3 linked regions of the Saccharomyces cerevisiae S288C genome follow. Each later gene encodes a partner of the first gene's protein in a complex. Each region holds a gene or a part of one and is shown on either strand. Other genes may lie near its edges.

Region 1 (8,010 bases):
TATTAACAAGAGGGCGGTTTCCAATTCTAAAGATGTATAAACAAAAATTCTTATATAACTTAGGCGACACATAATATGCGCTTAAATAACATATAGTGAGTATATTATCAAAAAGCATTCATTTTTTTTTATTTATTAGTCCTTCAGAAAGTTAGTTTGTATGTACTATATGATGTGAAAGTGCTGAAAAATTACCCAATAAAAGATAGGCAACCAAGAGAGAAGCTATTTCACCGTAAAGAAAATCCCTTTCCTTGTCAGGACACTATGTCATCAAGCGAAAACACGTTACTGGATGGAAAGTCAGAGAACACAATACGATTTTTAACTTTCAATGTCAATGGTATAAGAACCTTTTTTCATTATCAACCATTTTCTCAAATGAATCAATCCCTTAGATCTGTTTTCGACTTTTTTCGAGCAGACATAATAACATTCCAAGAGCTCAAGACGGAAAAATTGTCTATCTCTAAGTGGGGGAGAGTTGATGGTTTTTATTCTTTTATTTCTATCCCTCAAACCAGAAAGGGATATTCTGGCGTTGGCTGCTGGATTAGAATTCCGGAAAAGAACCACCCACTATACCATGCATTACAAGTCGTTAAGGCAGAAGAAGGTATAACGGGTTACTTGACAATAAAAAATGGTAAGCATTCAGCAATCTCCTATAGAAACGACGTAAATCAAGGAATTGGTGGTTACGATTCTTTAGATCCCGATTTAGATGAGAAAAGTGCACTGGAACTAGATTCAGAAGGCAGATGTGTTATGGTTGAACTGGCATGTGGAATAGTTATTATCAGTGTATATTGTCCCGCAAATTCGAACTCATCGGAGGAGGGTGAGATGTTTAGATTAAGGTTCTTGAAAGTTTTATTAAGAAGAGTTCGGAATTTGGACAAAATTGGGAAGAAGATTGTGCTAATGGGCGACGTAAATGTTTGCCGGGATCTTATAGACAGTGCCGATACATTAGAACAATTCTCAATTCCAATAACAGATCCCATGGGTGGAACAAAGTTAGAAGCACAATATAGGGATAAAGCAATCCAATTTATTATCAATCCGGACACGCCACATCGGAGGATATTTAATCAAATATTGGCTGATTCACTTTTACCAGACGCGAGTAAAAGGGGGATACTGATAGACACTACGAGGCTAATTCAAACAAGAAATCGACTTAAAATGTATACAGTCTGGAATATGTTAAAAAATTTAAGACCTTCGAATTATGGCTCACGGATAGATTTTATCCTAGTGTCCTTAAAGCTTGAACGATGCATAAAAGCAGCTGACATTCTTCCGGATATATTGGGCTCTGACCATTGTCCTGTGTATTCTGATTTAGATATACTGGACGACAGAATTGAACCTGGTACGACACAAGTTCCCATACCAAAATTCGAAGCAAGGTACAAATATAATTTAAGAAACCATAATGTTTTAGAGATGTTTGCCAAAAAGGATACGAATAAAGAATCTAATAAACAAAAATATTGTGTATCAAAAGTCATGAATACCAAAAAAAACAGCAACATCAAAAACAAATCGCTCGACTCATTTTTCCAGAAGGTAAATGGAGAAAAAGATGACAGGATTAAAGAATCCTCTGAAATTCCACAGCAAGCTAAAAAAAGAATCTCCACGCCAAAGTTGAATTTCAAGGATGTCTTTGGAAAGCCTCCCCTGTGCAGGCATGGGGAGGAATCCATGCTGAAAACATCGAAAACTTCGGCCAATCCAGGTAGAAAGTTCTGGATTTGCAAGAGATCTCGGGGTGATTCAAATAATACAGAATCATCTTGTGGGTTTTTTCAGTGGGTTTAAATATGAAAACGTCAGCTGATATTTTGGGAGAATAAAACACTTTCTTCTATGCCCAAGTTTTTTTAAATAATAAACTGATATTCTATATACATTTACAGTCTTGTTCTTCTTCTTCCATTACTTTTTTCAGCCATAGGCGGTCATCGTCAGTAACCTCCAGAAGTCTCAAACTGGAAGATTCTTGTAGAATTGACACTGTTAATGGTGAACCGACGAGTTCATCAGTAGATATGTATGTACTGATGGACGAAGAAAATGTATCTTTATCCGCATGATTTACTCTGATGTAAGCCAGCTTATCGTCAACATGCAGGAATGAATATTCTACACCTTCACCAAAAATACCATAACTACGTTTCAATGCGTTATTTAACCATTGCCTCCATGTCATTTGATCAATAGCATGTGCATCGTCCACATCTTGATCGAATGAAGTACTATAAATATTAAAGTACGTTAGTAGTTTATTTCTCTTCGGTAGTTGAGACTCAAAAAGTCAAAAATATACATACATTGATAACTTGAAATATTGCCATTCTCTAAAAGTCTTTTTCCCCATCACAACTGGCCATTTATCAAACTATTTATCTGCCTTTTCTTATTCTGATTATCCTATAAAGCTGAACAGTAAAGCTTGTAAAATTACGCGATGACTTATGTATTGAAGTTATGACGTTCTCGATGATCTTCAGTCAAACAACCACTTTCCCGTAACATATGATATATCCCACCCGCTTCCTTGTACGCATTATTACGGTTCTGCTTTGAAGATGGAGATTCAGTACTTGCAGTTATTTGAATTGCACCAGTACTGATCATGCCAAGTTTCTTTGGCTTGTGAAAGAACTTGATATTCTGTCTAAAGGATCTGCTCGTTTTTGTTTATGAAAAGTATATGGAATTATCTACTCTATGTAAAGTAATCTCTCTACTGGTTTTCGTTAGATGGCGCTGTAGAATCAGGCCTGTCGATGTTTTCCTCATTTCCTTCTGGTAATGTATCTGGAACATCGGTGGTCGTAGGTTGATCTGTATATGATGTATGCTCTTCTTCAAGTGTTGGAACATCATCTTCTTCGATTTCAAAATTACTACCCTGATCCATGAAACTGGATAAGTCATTGGCGTCTTCATCGTGGCCAGCAAGCAGGTCATCTGCTTCATCCAAAAATTGATCATGGATCAGGGATGAGTAGCTTGGACCTGTTCTGTTTCCAAACCTTCCTCTAATTTTGGAGATAGCATGCGCTATATTAGTTTTTGTGTGCTGTAAAAGAGACCCGATATTTGAGAAAACGTAAAATCCTGATTTCACAATGTTATTGACAACTCTGTCAGTATTATTGTTTTCTATTAAACCATCGTCACCTAGCCTAATTTCTCCAAACCTTGCAAATCCCCCATTTCTTCTGATACCTCTGTCATATACAAACCATGCGGCAAAGAAAATTATTAAAAGAATTGAAATGAAAATAAATGCAAAGGGACCGGCACTTACTGAGTACTTTTCCTTGAATTCTTTTTCTTTTCCTGGGCAAGCATGTGGTGATGAGGGAGCATCCAATTTCAGGCCACCCTCACAGGTTGATAGAGGGATCTTTCTGTAGCCTGACGATTCAAAATATTCGATTAAATCTGGCTCTTTTTTACAAACGTCTGCAGCATTTGCTGGGCTTAGTCCTTTGACTAATTTACAAGTACCATCGTTAGCTTTGTAAAAGTTGTAATCACACTCGAAATCTTGTCTTGTACAAGAACAGTTTTTGATATTTCTTGAAAATTCAGAAAGTGGAATATTCCCAATAAAACAATTTTCATCGGTTTTACGTAAAAACTCGGTTTGGTGACCAAATAGGCAATTGCTTTTGGAACCCAGAGGAGAGTATTTATAATCTGCGCTTTCCTTACCAGTGATGTCGAAATCACATTGTCTTTCGAAGATGTTTCTAAAATCAATTGTGTACGTTCTAAATGAGCTGCCTCCAATATCTGCTGCCTCTCCAAACAGCAAAAATCTCAAAGCAGAATCCCTGGGAACAGTGGTTATATCCTTTACTAAAACCTTATCAGCGCAGAATTTATAATCTTTCCATGTTTTACCAAAATCGGTAGAATAGGAAATAGAATCAGTTTCTGAGTTTTCAGGAACTAAAACTAAAATCCCACCGTGGTCACCGTATTCCCATTGGTGAGGAGTCTTCTTAACTTCAGCCCACGTTTCGCCACCATCGGTGGTGAAGAAGGTGGAACATTCTTTATATGGTAAAAGGTTAGGACCAACGTTGCCAACGCCGAACATCATTCCTAATGCAGAACCGGAAGAATATGTATCTCTAATATCCTTACGTTCAGTATAGCCATGTAAGTGCAATGAACACTCATCCAGTGATTTGGAGCTGCAAGAAAACTTTTTTCCTTCTGAATCCCTCTTCGGAGGTTTCAAAAAGTTCCAATCTGAACCTTCATTAAAGGTGATCTTCGTCTTCAATTGTTTGTCTTCTTTATTCTCGGCGACCTTGTCACTATTTGAAACGATGTTGGTGAGAATAATGCCTTCGAGACCTTGAATTTTTTCAAAGTCAACATAGCCGAATGTGTTTCTATTAACGGCATGCTCCAACGTGACAAAAGAAGTACCATTTGAGTTGGATTTCAAAAGATTGCCAAAATCGCGTCCTGGTACTAAGTTTGTTGCTAAATGTAAGAATATCGATCCTTTCTCAGACTCTAATATAGTGAATGCCTCTTGCTTCCCAACATCTTCATCATATGGGAATTTTGCCTCGGCAAACTCAGTACCATCGATAGTTACGTATGCTCTCAATTCGTTGTTCTCATGAGGAACAGCAACGATGATATAGCCACCAGTGGATAAGTAGCCGATAATATTTTCAAAGACGGTATTTTTATCATCCTGGAAAAAATCAGTAGAAGAAACTAAGCTTCTTGTCTGCGAAGACTTTTCCTTCACTTGACACATAACCATATCCTCATTTGACGGATATTTGAAAAGTGAGCCCGCAAACTCACAATGAATTGCATTATCAAGCATTTCCGTAAACGTTTCGCCCCCATCATTGGTCAGGTATGCTACCGCATGACATTCCGGACTTAAGATTGACTCACAATTCTTACCACCATAATAGATAAATGTATCCTGTGCCTTAGCGTTAAAGTCTAATGGCATACCTAACTGCCTAGCCTCGGGCAATTTAGCAGTCATAAAAGAGTATCCCCTATCATGGGTAGAGAAAATGCTACCTTTGGAACCAAACAGATAAGCTGAAGAATTGTAGTATGGATTAAACACAACTTCAATAATTGTTTCACCATTACTGTCGAACCTTTTTATTGTTTGTCCACCATCATGAGATATATAAGCTTCTCCTCTTGAATTGATCATGAGGAGGGATTCGTCGGTGACTGTGTCAAAGTATTGATAGAATTGAATCTTGAAATCAAATTTGTTTTCTGTAACCACTATTTCTTTATCATTCGTTCCCTTCTTTGGAACTCCCTCACACGAAATATCCACTGATTTGACTGTCATTGGTTTTTTACATTTATCACCTTTAACTAGTTGCAATGGTTTTACAGGCACAGTTTTTTTCTTTGTCTTATCACATACGTCAGAGAGAACGATTAGGTTGTAGTCTGGTACGCATTTCCCGGTCGCGTCCCTAACAAATTCAAACGCGCATTCGTAATCAGCCTCGGTACACTTGTCACAAGCAGTCTCAAATAATTGTAAGTCTTCAAAAACTTTCTTCACCAAGCACTGAGCGTCCTGTTTTCTTCTTCTGATCTTGTACTTGACTCCATTGACACACTTCCCCTCAGCTAAATTCCAATCCTCGAAATCATTTTCTTCGCATGTCTTATCATTAAAGGCTGTTGAAAAATCAATTGCATAGATGAAATTCGTTGTACCATCCATATGCGCCAAAGTAAACCCATTTAGAATAAATTTAGCTCCAGATCCGTCGGGCGTTGTATTCATTACTTCATTTGGGTAGATAGTAGTTTCTAGCTGATATTCGGTCCAAGTTTTACCTTGGTCTAAAGAGTAATAAAATTCGGATTGAGGATCGTCGTCTTCATCCGCATTATACGGTATAGCCACAATAACATTTCCGTAATCACCAACAGCGTATAAACAAGGAAAATCAAAGGCGAGTTTCCATGTTAAGCCACCATCCCTAGAAATAAAGGTTCTTTGATCTCCCCAGTCGAAGACACTACCATCGCCAACAATACCTGTTGTCATTAGAATTCCGGCGGTTGGAGTGGAACCCTCCCGTGTGTAAAACATATTTTGAAGCGAACAATTCTCAAAATCAGTAATATCACAGTCGAATGAGTCTGCGTTATCTGGATCAACAACTTTTAACATTGTCCATGTGAGGCCATTATCAACAGATATTTTGGTTACCCCCTTACTCTTTACTCCTTTGGCTTTTCCTTTACGGTTACGACGCCTAGATAGAGGGTAAAGTGAGGCAATCATCGTTCCTTTCAAGTAAGTAGGTTGATAAAAATTAATATAACCAAACACCTCATTTGCGGTCCATGGGATGGGGGAAAATTTTAACCCTTGTGAGTCGGAAATTAAAATTTCAGACACGATGCCCTTATCCTCCTCTTGATCACTTCTTTCCCTACTCATGGGCAAGATAATTCTTCCCATAGCGTCCTCATATATTTCTCCTTGCATAGAATGCCTTAACTGAGTAGGCATGTAAGCCATTTTAAAGTTTGACAGATCATTTGATACCCACACATCCATGGAAGACATATCATTATATCTGTCGCCCTGGGTTAAGACAACCATGTGAGATTTCAATATCCTGTAACCATTGACGACCTTATCTTTAAATTGGTCAAATTCTTTTAGTGATTTGCCCCAGTCCGTAGTTAGGACCAATTTACTTTCGGTGTAAGGAGAACTAAACTCATCCATAATAAGCTGCATATTTTGAAAAAGACAGATTATTGAGGTATCACTACTTTCAAGGTCAGAATCTTTGCTGGTCTTGGCAAAGCCACAATCAGAAATGCTGATAGGACTATTTTCGTTCCTTTCTAGAGAAGACTTGATCTCAGAAAAGGATTTTCCACCATCATTACTTGCAAAAACCTTGTCTGTGCAACGTGTAATATTAAATATTTCAAATTGTCCCTCTTCGTCCCCCGAATTCTCTTCATTGTCATTGTTTACTTCTGTTTTCTCACAATAGTTGCACTTTGCAAGAAAATAGTTCTTATTCAAGGGATGGGTTTCTATATAGCATTCACGAGGTGAAATACTTTCTCCGGAGTCAGGTAGCGTTATACGCTCCCATGACTTACCTTGATCATTGGTTATATAAAGGTACGACCCATTCATTGCCGTTGCAACGGCTCTGTCATGTCTATTGAAGGGGTCGATGTATATCCAAGTGATTTCGCCTTCAATGCCTTCAACTTTTTCCCATGTTTCACCATCGTCAAAGCTTATAGTAACGGAGGTGTCTTGTTTTCTAATTAAAGTGTTGGAATCATCAAAGCTTAATATATCAAATGAATCTTGCGCGATAGTCTTTGTCACTTTGGGGGTGAATTCTTCGGCATTAGTTAAAGGAATGAGAAGTAAGGCCCAAAGAGAATAGACAAAATGAAGTAATATCATAACGTGTGATGACTACTGGACACTTCAGGGCTTTTCCAGATATACAGAGCTTTATAATACAATCTAAGGGCAAAATAAAAAAGGAAAAAGAGTACGGTAGTTGAGAAAAAAACCGGAAAGGAATTGCTTTAAAGATCTTAGTAGAATGAAATAGTACCACCTACTCGCCTCCTTTTTTTGTGCTTCTTGAGAGGTCTTTTGAGCTGTTGCATCATGCTGTTATTTAGAGGTTATTTTTTGACCTTGGTTTTTCCTTCTTTTCGCCGTACTCAGCCCGAGAAAAAAGCAGCGACTGCACTAAACTAGAGGAAAGAAGGCTTAAAACATCACGCGATCCATATAAAGACCCGAGTAGTTGGAGAGATTGACTACTTGACGTTCAAAAGAACATACATAAGGATAAATTCGTTCGGACTTTTTAACTTACACACATCTTTTGGTGTTCATTCAAGGGGCGGTAGTGCTTGTAGTCCGCACAGGCGGATACTTTTTAGTTTGGGAAGAGTTAACTG
Region 2 (5,207 bases), on another chromosome or scaffold:
GCAAGAAGTCATTTTTTGGTGGTGAGAGGAAGAGAAAGGCATTTACTGCTAAATGGAAAGCTGAAAACAAGCAATAGACGCTTTCGCAAGATCTCAATATATACATGTATACGTATATGTTCACATTATACTCCATATTCTTGTAAATATATAATAAACTCAGAAATTGTTGTCCTTCATTCATGTTGATATTTATATGAAACGCTGACTGGGCCTTTCAAATCTTCATCGGTTTGAAATTTGAATTGTAAATATGTTTTGAAGATACGATGAAATGAAAAATTGACGGCTTAACGAGAAGATGAGTGAAACAAGGATGGCACAGAACATGGATACTACAGATGAACAGTACCTGAGACTTATTGAGCTACTCTCAAACTATGATTCCACCTTAGAGCAGTTGCAGAAGGGGTTCCAGGATGGCTACATCCAATTGAGCAGATCGAACTACTATAATAAAGACTCATTACGAGGAAACTATGGTGAAGATTACTGGGATGAAACGTATATAGGTCAACTAATGGCAACAGTGGAAGAAAAAAACTCCAAGGTAGTTGTCGAAATCGTCAAAAGAAAAGCTCAAGATAAGCAAGAAAAGAAAGAGGAAGAAGATAATAAATTGACTCAGAGAAAAAAAGGAACGAAGCCAGAAAAGCAAAAAACTCAGAGTCACAAACTTAAACAAGACTACGACCCAATTTTGATGTTTGGTGGAGTACTGTCCGTTCCTTCTTCATTGAGACAATCGCAGACAAGTTTCAAAGGTTGTATTCCCTTAATAGCCCAATTGATTAATTACAAGAACGAAATATTAACGTTGGTTGAAACGTTGTCTGAGCAGGAATAAAGAGTTAAGAATATAGTAAAAAGAAATAATACATACGTGTATATTTGAAGAAAGAAATAATCATTAAAAGTTGTCGTAGATTAATTATAATAAAGTCCATGGTTTGAAAAAGAAAAAAAAAAATTAAGACCAAAATAAAAGCTCAATACCCAAAAGAAAACCGAACACCGTAATAATACAAAATCCCATAAAACACCATGTGATGGACTTAAAGACAGAATTTGGAAGCAGTTCAAAGAAGAGGAGGAAAGAAGAAAACTAGTTCAGGTATTTCGAGGAGTACTAGTTTCACTACATTGATAGTAGAATTTTAGCACGTCATCCACAGATATTCTGTTACCAGGGGAATTTAGCGACTGATCTACATTGAAACAATTTCCTAATTCGGGCGTATGTAGCGCACTCAACTCTCTTGGCTTGAATTTGCCAGAAAATGATGAAACAGAGGGAGAGGAAGGATTGGTCTTTTCGCTGACGCTATCTCCAAGAACAGAAGGAAATGTATAATTTCTCAAGTCTTCCAAGGTCATTTCCAAATCTGTAGGCGAGTCTAATTGCTTATTGCCATTTGGGGTATTGTTGGTTTCGTTACCATCGTGGTGAGAATCCATCGTTGTAGCTATTGTGGAGGAAGACACTATTCTGCTCGAATCGTTCATCACAACATTGGAATATTTAGAAGAGACGTTTGAATCTGGTCGGGGTTGCGGTGCCAAAGACGTGAATTTGACTAATGATTCTACATCATGTTTTTCTTCGTGCGACTCAAGAGGGTTGTCTTCCCTTTTACCATTAGCATGCGAAATATGGTGAAAATCAAATGGTGTAGATATACTTGACTGTTTTGCGGTTTTGGCAGACCCATGTCTCCTCGACAACAGGTCCTTTTTTTTGAACATGCCCAGGAAATTCTTCTTTTTATTAGTTAATGACTTGTGATTGGAATTTATGTTAGGGTTGATCGTCATGTAATTGGGCAAAGGGGGCAATTTGATGTTGTTCTTGTTCGGCAAAGCCAGCTTTTTACTGTCAACGAGAACAATTCCTAAATCTTCGTCGGCGTCTTCATCGGAATCCGTACTAGGTCCATTCATGAATCGTTGCCTTACTTGGAATCCATACAATTTTTCCATTTCCTGATCCTCGTCAATCCAAATGGATTTCATTTGAGGAAGCTCCATCTGTTGCAGCCTCTTTCCTTCAGTCATCCTTTAGAATTTATCACACAATTAATAAGCGAGTATTCAGAGTGAATTATAAACAATAAACAATAGAAATAAGTCTTTCTTAAAAAAAAGTAGTGATAGTCCGTACGAAGATAATTAATTGCAGAATAGTTTTCAATGGTTTCAGCTCTCAGTAAATCCTACAGGTACAATGTAACAGAATATGCCTTGGATCCCCAAATTTTTTTGTCTATTCGTTGTTTTCCTTCTCTATGGAAATCGTCGAAAAATTTCTTTGTTTTTTTTTTCCTTTATTGTTGTTGTCTTTTCGCGAATTCGCGTCGCGATTCGTGGATTGTGATGATAATAGCGATGTCTACTACCCGGGTACGTATTTAATTATCATTTATACATTATATGTTATAGGTTAGCGTATCGTTTTAAGGCTTGTGTCTTTTGGAAGCATGGCCTAATTGTTCAGCATCCATACTCCTTTTCACTACCTTGATGGTCTGGACGTCGTCGATGCCTTGAACATCGTTGACCACGTCATCGCCGTTTCCGCTACCACCACCGGTAACAATGGTCTGTTTGTGGCTCTTATTCCTTAAGCGGCCATTTAGGAGGACGAGTGAAGCTAGGTCTCCCATGGCCTTCGAACACCTATCGCTCGGAAGACCTAAATTCTTGATTAGACTTGTTACTCCTAATATGTTGCGGCACTCAAGTGGTGACATGGCACCACTGCCGATAACAATGCCTCTGGACCTCGAACTCCTGATGACGCTTCTTACATTGGATACGAACTGCCTCCGAGCTTGTACGTCACGCAAAGCATAGCCATAAACAATTTCAAGTTTTACTCCTCTGTTCACACAGCTGCATATGCTTTTATGCTTAAGGAAAGTAGGCAGGCGCGACCCGTACTGAAAGGTCAACAAGTCAATATCCAGATTGGTAGTTGATAAAGTAAGGCCCTTTTCACTGATTGGCAATGCTGCTACAATATCAAAGGCCTGGCTTATCTTGGAAAGAGACTGTCCCTTCGATGGATCGTCGATAATTAGCGTGATCCTGCTGTATAATTTTAGCCCTGTTCGATCCATCAATTCTCCAAACCTTCTCTTGATATCGATAGGATTTAACAGCTTAACATCGTTGGGGAATTTCTCGCTGTGGTTTACTGTAAAATTTATGGCGATGTGTGTATATCCCAACATATGCAATGTGGATAACGTTTTTATTAAATTGTTGACCGCCTGAGAAGTAACTTTGTCTGCATAGCTGTTCTGTGGCCACGGTACATTCAAATCTACCAGCATTCTCGGTTCTATAATGCTTTCACTTTTGTTTTTTGTGTCTGTTTAGGTTAAGTATTTTCTACTGGTAAAATGAAATTTTTTCATTTATGCGAGGTAAAATTCTGGGCATCGCACATACATTTTTCATGTTTTCTGGTAGTAGTAACAAAAGAGAGGCACTTGACAAATTAATCTGCCTTCAGACTGTTAAGGTTCGCTCGAATAAAGCATTAAGAGTGTATATATATCAGTATTTATAAATGTATATGTTCTGGCTGATATCCGCGCATTTTCAGTCCTTTCTCCAGTCACCATTGATACTTCTCGACCTGTTCAATGCTAATCTCATAGTGGCCAATTCTCCGATAGTTTTATTAACCTTGCAGCAGTTTGGGTCTAGATTTAAGTTATCAGCCAATTTGACGACATAGCCATTGATATACTCAATTTCAATGTCTCTTAAGAACAAAGTGTCTTGTCTCATTGAACTACTGTTCCTAGAATTGATGTCACAGCCAATTCTAGTGACTTCGGAGACCATGTTATCGGTTGTCAGTACTGCATTGACATCCATTTCTGGGTATTCTTCATTACCGCTGTATTTTTCGTGGTATTGAAACAATGGCCTATAAGCAACTCTCAATATTTGTAAACACTCGTCAATAATAGATGTGAAAACTGGACCGCAACTGGCCTTCATCTCACCATTGACACAATCTAGAATAGCCGTAACTGGATTCATGCATGCATTAACCAAAAATTTAAATAATTGACCAAAGAGCATTTCTTGATAAGTGGAATGTTCTATTCCAAATTCCTTGGCAAATTTTGGTTCTGTTAATAATTTTACTAATGAGTTATTGGCTGCATCGTCCTCGACTACGGATTTTTTTTGAATCATTTCTTCCTCAGTCCAAGGCAATTTGGCAATTTTCATACCAGCCCACCCAGCATGATTGAAAACTCCTGCTTTATCCTGATAAACGCCATGAGAAATGACACCCTGAAATAAATGTGGTCTGTTTTTTGAATCTGTAAAGATTTCTTCTCTCAATAGTTCTAAAACGCCCAGTCCATTCTGAATCAAAATTAAGTTTGTATTTTTATTAATATAAGGCAAATAAGGAGCTAGTGCTTCTTTGGTTTGGTAAGTCTTTGTAGTGACGACTAAGTTGTCAATAGGTTTTTTAGAGAAAGTTTCAGGGCATTCGCATTTCTCCACTGGATAAGAAAATATTGGCGAGCCTTCCAAATAAAGTTTGCGAATCGAAATGTTGTTCCCATTTGTCTTCTGAAATTGTGCAAGTCTTTCTTGTGATCTAAATAAGGGCACAACTAGGGCATTGGTAAATCTTAAAAGGTCAACTGCCAAAACGGTACCCATGGCACCCAACCCAAGAATATGAATAGTACTTCTGTGTGGTGCAGTCATATTGTACAGACTTTATCGTATACGTATATTATCGATTTCTCCTATCGATCGTAACATACAAAGGTGAGTATAAAGTATCTTGTTTTTTTAATATATTTGTATTAAGCTGAATGGCACGATAAGCCTTTCTCGAGAAACCGTTAGCGGCCGCCAATCTATAAAAAAAAGAAATCGGAAACATGAAATATGAATTTGAATAGAACGTGACTCAACAGAAAGTCACAAACCTAACCATAATAACCTTGCTATAGCATTTTTTGACTTAATTTTATATGTTCTTTTTTCAAGGGCTGTATAGTTCCATCATGTATGTATTTTTCTATATACGTATACATACCGTTTTTCTTAGAGCGCTCTATAATTCACCCTTTACAGCATTACCAGTTTTCAAATCTCTAGCGGTGACTCTTAAAGCACCGTCTTTGTTAATGTTAAAGATAATTTCAACACCGTTAGCGTTT
Region 3 (7,025 bases), on another chromosome or scaffold:
AATCTCGGAGTACTAGAGGGAGACTACGTAGATATTGGTGCAATATTCCCACACACAACAAATACAGAAGATGTAGACGAATATGATTGTTTTCAAGATATTCATTGCAAGAAACAGAAGATTGTTGTTATGGGAAACACACACACTGTTAATGCGAATTTAACAGATTATGAAGTAGAAGGCGTCCTTGTAGAGAAGGAAACGGTAGGTATTCACAGTCCTATTGATGAAAAATGCTAGTGTAAGGAATTCACTAGTTCATAAGCATATATACTTGTTTTAATATATTCCCTAAAACTGAGGTATCCAGTTCTTTTGTTCTTATTCGTTTGATCATCCTTTACGTATTTTTCGTCTGCGGCAGTGGAAAGAACTTAAAAAACGAAAGATAATAAAGAAAAAGGCCAGTCGGCACGAATTAAAGACCACCTGTAAGAAGATTAAGACAACGGTGGTATAAACTAGTGTCGAAGTCCAAAATGCCTAGTCATCGCAATTCAAACTTGAAGTTTTGCACAGTTTGTGCATCAAACAACAATCGTTCAATGGAATCGCATAAAGTCCTGCAAGAAGCAGGCTATAATGTTAGCTCTTACGGAACAGGTTCAGCTGTGAGACTGCCTGGTCTATCGATAGATAAGCCTAATGTGTACTCATTTGGTACACCCTATAATGATATATATAATGATCTTTTATCACAATCAGCAGACCGTTACAAGTCGAACGGTTTATTGCAAATGCTGGATCGTAATAGAAGACTCAAAAAAGCACCTGAAAAATGGCAAGAAAGTACAAAAGTCTTCGACTTCGTTTTCACTTGTGAAGAGAGATGTTTTGATGCCGTTTGTGAAGATTTGATGAATAGAGGTGGGAAATTAAACAAAATAGTGCATGTAATTAATGTTGACATTAAAGATGATGATGAAAATGCTAAAATTGGTAGCAAAGCTATATTGGAATTAGCTGATATGCTCAATGATAAAATAGAACAATGTGAAAAAGATGACATTCCCTTTGAAGATTGTATAATGGACATTTTAACTGAGTGGCAAAGCTCACATTCTCAACTACCGTCATTATACGCTCCTTCATATTACTAAACAAAACGGTCAATTACTGTAGAAAAGCATAAGCATTAAGCGGCCCTCATGAATCCTACATTATCCGTGAAATTTCAATACTTTCACAAGTCTTCGATAGCTTCCTAGTTATATTCATTATATAATATTACGTTTCTTGTTGCGGCTCTCTTAAGCACATTATTTGCTTGTTGTCCACATAGCTATTTTTTTATCAAGAAGCTTGATATACAACACACTGTATTTTTAGTAAGCTGGACAATGTCTTGTCTCAATGTAGCGTATAACAGGTTTCATTCCAAAACACATCACCAGATATAGGACTGAAATGAAGAAAATAGAAGCATGAAACTTTAAAAGTTTCAGTACTTTAAGAAAGAAATAAATAGAAAAATGTTCCATTTATTTCTGAAAATAAATCAAAAATTATAAGATCCACCCGTTCCTACCAAGACCTTCCAAAATTTTTCCCATAACGGGAACGAGCAAAGTTGAGACTGCTCAAAAGAGCACATCTTCAAACTACAATCCCGACCAAATAATCTCAACAGCCATACCTTCATCATAAACTTAAGTTCATTCGAATCTGCCGTCAAAAACTAAAATGGCACGCTAGAGAAAAGTAGTCAAAAAGAATGCCTCTACAAAGCTCTCTTTTGAAAGGCCCCAGCTCCCCTAACACCAATTTGAATTTGGTGTCAAACTTCTCCAGGCAGAAGAAACAAAGGGCCCCAAAAATCAGTTTAACCCAAAAATCCCCAAAGGAATCAAGGGATTAACCAATGATTGAAACAAGGGAATGGAAACGTCAGCAAACACGCCTTCCGCGCCGTATGTGTGTGTGACCAAGGAGTTTGCATCAATGACTTCAATGAACAATTATAGTTCAATGATAAATGCTTAACGTCCTTCTACTATTGGAAGCGCATGTTTGATCAGTAGGACTTCTTGATCTCCTCTGATATCTTAAGGTAAGTATGAGGATTTTAAAAAAATTCAAGAAAAAACTATATTTTAACGCTAAAAGTATGTTTGTAAAATAGTTCTATTAAATGGAACTTCTTCTCTCTATTTATACGTCTTGCCAATGGAAAACTCGTCGCCTTAGAAAAAAAAAAGGTGCAAAGACGGGTAATAATTTCATTGACATTTTCAAGAGCTAGGGAATGAATCAATGAGCCCTATGATGGCAGCGTAGATCACCGTATTTAAATTAACATATAATAAGATTTGTTGCCACTTTCAATCTCTAAATGTGTACGTATAGAGTTCCAGGAAGCAAAAAGACCATTATTGCGCGATATGATTGCTATTTGCCCTCTGTATACATAGCTTTATAGGATATCGGTCGTACATATAATTCAGTTCAGTTCATTATACGGATATTTTCGACCACTCCCCCAACCTATAAGTGTTGGTACCTACATTTCTGATCAGTACATACCTAGTTGGTTGCCGGATGGCCGCATGATGATCTATAAATCCGATTCCCATACCATTTCCACAATTTAAGTGGTAGGTGCCGCTGGTAATAAAACCAATCAAATCATGTACCTCTGGAAGTGGAATTTTCAAATCATGATCTTTTCTTCCGTTTGGGCGGTAAACCCCTTTTGCCAATTGTAGCCAATGCTCTAAGTCCTTTTCTGGAACTTGATATATTCTTGCATTGTCCTTTGGGTGACCTCGTTCGAGTAGTGTGCAAGATACAGCAATGATACAACGTGGGAAGAATGTAAGGGAGAATGAAGAACTATTGACGCTAATGCTATCAGGAGTGCGAAATTGACATTTCCGATTTTTACACAATGCAACTGGTATGTTCTCTTCAATCGACAACGACATAGCCTTGGTCTTGGCTTCATAATCTTTGCAAAACTCCAAAACATCATTTACACAGTTGATGTCTCTTACACCCTGAGCGTTAAATTGCCCGGTCTTCTTACTGTCCATCAGTTCTAAGGTTTTATCATTCCGCTGTAAATAATCAATTCCATTTCTCAGTATTTGTAAAAATCTCCAGTCTGAACTGAAAAAATCGCCGATTTCTCCGCTATATGCCGGTAATTTAGTGTTATGGATGTCTTTGATCTTCTCGAAATTAATCCTTTTTCCCATTGGCTTCCTATCCCACTTCGTCTTGGAGGCCTCCTTTTTATAAAATGAGTTTTCTATATAACCCAATTGAGTGAATGGATAATCATCCGGAAAATATAATTGCTTATTCTCGTACTGAATTTGCTGGAATTGCCTGAGGCCAATGTGATACATCCTTGGTATCCGGTTCAGTAGATGCCATAACGGTAGCAGCCAGAACCATGGTAACACAACAATCCAATCCCTGGTCTTGAGCCTTCTTATTATGACTAATGGAATAGAAGGATCGTCACTTTCTTTGAACGGGACTGTAGTTTTATTGATGCTGTTCGGTGTGGCAGTTAGCAATTTGTAACGTCTCGCAGAAATTTCTTTTAATGTGTTTTGGTTGTTGTATGATTGAGTACGTGATTCAGGGTCACATAATTCGTTAAAAACGGCGTTTATTTCGTCTTGAGGATAGTTTTCATGCAGTGATAAAATGTCGTCAGAATTAACAGTCTTCCTCTGTGAATCATTTAATTTCTTTGGAGCAGCTAGATGACGCGGATCTATGGCTTCAAATGCAAACGTACACCTCTGTGGTAGGGCATTATGATCGGTAATCATTGAAACCATTTTAAATTGTTCAAACGATTTAGAGTACTCTGTGCTCCTTAAACACGATGCTAATGACTCTAGAGCTTTAGCTCCCTTCAATGTCACGCTTGCTAATGAATATCGACAATCTTGTACTGTTAGTTTTTCCTTATGTTGCAAAAGAATGTTAAAAACCTGAGTATAAATTGAAGGGTGTAACCTTATAATTGCAGTATCCTTTTGTACCCAAAATACGTCGCATGGACCCAGTGGCTTAGTAGAATCCTCACCGTTTTCTTCATTGAAACTATAAATTAACCCTTGGAATAAAACCTGGCCTTCGCGATATTTCCTTAAGTTTGCTCTTTCAGCTGTTAACTTTCCTATAATGGATTTTAAAAAGTCCCCCTCACTGTCATTGCTTTTGTCTTTTACAATTATTGTACCAATATAACTTGAATCCATGCATAAGGCCCCATCGGAGCTGCAGGTATCACCGCCCAACCTATGCGTCAATTTAAAGCATTTTTGAGTAGGTGCCCATACCATTTGATATCCCCATCTTTTCATCATGTGCGACCTTTTAGCATTCCAAATGTGGGTGGGTAGCCAAGCAAAGTGCTTCTGTCTCTTCGTATATTTGACCCTGCCCTTGGGAATAGGTGCTAATTCATTGACACCAGTGCAATCATAGCTCCCCATACGATTATTAAGTAACTTTATATTTGGATTTGCTGTTGATGATTCTTTAATCATTCGCTTTAATGTCTTGATTTTCTGCCTTACGTGGCAGTTAGATGATGTAACCTCTGGTGGCATGCTGAGTTTCATAGAAGTAGATTTGCTAGCCAATCGTAGCAGCTTTATGGACATTCTAGCTTTATAAAGTTGCTTTGCATTTAGGCCATGAGCTTTTCTGGAAGAGGCTGAAGACCCCTTCAACACATCCTGCTGATCACTTTTACGCATTTCCCTCAAAGCTCTATTGCGCATTCTTTTTGGAATTCTACGAACATTATGCGAAGCCGTTCTACGACGCAATTTTCGAGGCAATGCCTGAAATATTCTCGTTGAGCTGGCTGCTTTGGAATTATGCATGGCCAATTGCAACTGCTTAACCTCGAATTGTCGAGAACTAATGAATTGGTCCACGTTTAGCTTACTTCCCGATTCACTCAGATCACTCGGTGTCCCAGTTTTTGTTGATGAAGCGGCCACGGCCTCTGCTCTAATTGATCTAGCATTTCTTATGCGATTTCGCTTCAGTAATTGATTCTTATTAAGAACTTTCTTTCCACCATTTCCTCTAGACAAACTCCCGCTCATTTGTAATTATAATGAGGTCAATTCTCACCTTTCTTGCCAAATGTTCAAGTGGCAGGCTGCTCAATAAGTATCCCCGTTCTTCAAAGACATGCCACCGTTCCGAGAATCTCATCGAATTCAGATCTGCTTTCTTCTAATGCGAATTTCACTGAAAAGTTTTCCCACAGTGTTACCCTCTTACCCGGGTGCAATGTCACGTGCACATCACATATGAAAAAATGACCAGCAAAGAAGTCAATCTACCTTCCTTATGGCCGGTAGAGTCAATAGTAATTTACTTTGCAACCAATTAATAAATCTGTAAACTTAAAGGAATCAGCAATTACCGCAACCCCAGAGAATCGGATGGTGAGATTAGTCCCATTCAATTCGCTCTCGTGACCAAATCGTCGGGAAAACATGTCCCACTTACCTGTTCCTGTGAATCCAGATACGGAAAAAAATTGTATTTAAATAATCTCGATTTTACATTTACTGATCGCGATCCTTTTCATTGAGTCACAGATTAACAAAGTAAATAATAATAAGTAAACATTATTTCTAAAAAAGTAATTTCTTTTTCTTACTAGTCTTTTCTTTTTTGACTTTCTCTTTATTTCTTAACTTGCCTTATAAAAGAAACGATTGTAGAAGCTTACCTCGACCGAGTAAATATTAAGCTTTTCGTTGGATAAGGTAGGGGAAATCGTAACATTACTAAATTTAAAGCATATCAGAATGGTTAACGTTGTATTGGGCTCCCAATGGGGTGATGAGGGTAAAGGTAAACTAGTTGATTTACTGGTTGGTAAATATGATATTGTAGCCCGTTGCGCCGGTGGTAACAATGCCGGGCATACCATTGTTGTAGACGGTGTTAAGTATGATTTCCATATGTTACCATCTGGTTTAGTCAACCCAAACTGCCAAAACCTTTTGGGTAATGGTGTTGTTATTCATGTTCCATCTTTTTTCAAAGAGTTGGAAACCTTGGAAGCTAAAGGTTTGAAGAACGCAAGGAGTAGATTATTTGTTTCTTCCAGAGCACATTTAGTCTTTGACTTTCATCAGGTGACTGACAAGCTAAGAGAATTGGAGTTATCAGGTCGTTCTAAAGATGGTAAAAATATCGGTACTACCGGTAAAGGTATTGGTCCAACTTATTCCACAAAGGCTTCTAGATCTGGTTTGAGAGTTCATCATTTGGTGAATGATCAACCCGGTGCCTGGGAGGAATTTGTTGCTAGATATAAGAGATTATTGGAAACGAGAAGACAAAGATACGGTGATTTCGAATACGACTTTGAAGCCAAGCTTGCTGAATACAAGAAGTTAAGAGAGCAACTAAAGCCATTCGTCGTCGATTCTGTCGTTTTCATGCACAATGCTATTGAAGCAAAGAAAAAGATATTGGTTGAGGGTGCTAATGCTTTGATGTTGGATATTGATTTTGGTACTTATCCATATGTGACTTCTTCCAATACTGGTATTGGTGGTGTCCTCACCGGTTTAGGTATTCCTCCACGTACTATTGATGAAATTTATGGTGTTGTTAAAGCCTACACAACTAGAGTTGGTGAAGGTCCTTTCCCAACGGAACAATTGAACGAAAATGGAGAAAAACTGCAGACCATTGGTGCTGAATTTGGTGTCACTACTGGTCGTAAGCGTCGTTGCGGTTGGTTAGACTTGGTAGTCTTGAAATACTCAACTTTGATCAATGGATACACGAGTTTGAACATTACCAAGTTAGACGTCCTCGATACTTTCAAAGAAATCCCAGTGGGTATTTCATATTCTATTCAAGGTAAGAAGCTAGATTTGTTCCCTGAAGACTTGAATATTCTTGGTAAAGTTGAAGTTGAATACAAAGTTTTGCCAGGTTGGGATCAAGATATTACCAAAATTACAAAGTATGAAGATTTGCCGGAAAACGCAAAGAAGTACTTAAAATATATTGAAGAT

What was found. Proteins that work in one complex are often made in the same cells at the same time.
Region 2: POP8 (region 1) and RPP1 share a complex: the UniProt entries of both Saccharomyces cerevisiae proteins name them as parts of the nuclear RNase P and RNase MRP complex.
Region 3: POP8 (region 1) and POP1 share a complex: the UniProt entries of both Saccharomyces cerevisiae proteins name them as parts of the nuclear RNase P and RNase MRP complex.

What each region holds. Positions count from the first base shown.
Region 1 is NC_001134.8:184,086-192,095, forward strand, and holds POP8 (ribonuclease P), read right to left. Parts: upstream 2,390-8,010; coding exon 2,343-2,389; intron 2,268-2,342; coding exon 1,913-2,267; downstream 1-1,912. Other genes in the region: RFT1 (glycolipid translocation protein), read left to right, coding at 1-40; DNA-(apurinic or apyrimidinic site) lyase APN2, read left to right, coding at 268-1,830; PEP1 (type I sorting receptor), read right to left, coding at 2,759-7,498. UniProt on the Saccharomyces cerevisiae protein: Component of ribonuclease P, a protein complex that generates mature tRNA molecules by cleaving their 5'-ends. Also a component of RNase MRP, which cleaves pre-rRNA sequences.
Region 2 is NC_001140.6:220,424-225,630, forward strand, and holds RPP1 (RNA-binding RNA processing protein RPP1), read right to left. Parts: upstream 3,336-5,207; coding exon 2,454-3,335; downstream 1-2,453. Other genes in the region: mitochondrial 37S ribosomal protein mS41 FYV4, read left to right, coding at 1-77; VMA22 (Vma22p), read left to right, coding at 302-847; GIC1 (Gic1p), read right to left, coding at 1,111-2,055; 2-dehydropantoate 2-reductase PAN5, read right to left, coding at 3,607-4,746; ribosome-associated complex protein SSZ1, read right to left, coding at 5,102-5,207. UniProt on the Saccharomyces cerevisiae protein: Component of ribonuclease P, a protein complex that generates mature tRNA molecules by cleaving their 5'-ends. Also a component of RNase MRP, which cleaves pre-rRNA sequences.
Region 3 is NC_001146.8:228,615-235,639, forward strand, and holds POP1 (ribonuclease P/MRP protein subunit POP1), read right to left. Parts: upstream 5,082-7,025; coding exon 2,454-5,081; downstream 1-2,453. Other genes in the region: cysteine protease ATG4, read left to right, coding at 1-240; SSU72 (RNA polymerase II subunit A C-terminal domain phosphatase), read left to right, coding at 480-1,100; ADE12 (adenylosuccinate synthase), read left to right, coding at 5,799-7,025. UniProt on the Saccharomyces cerevisiae protein: Required for processing of 5.8S rRNA (short form) at site A3 and for 5' and 3' processing of pre-tRNA.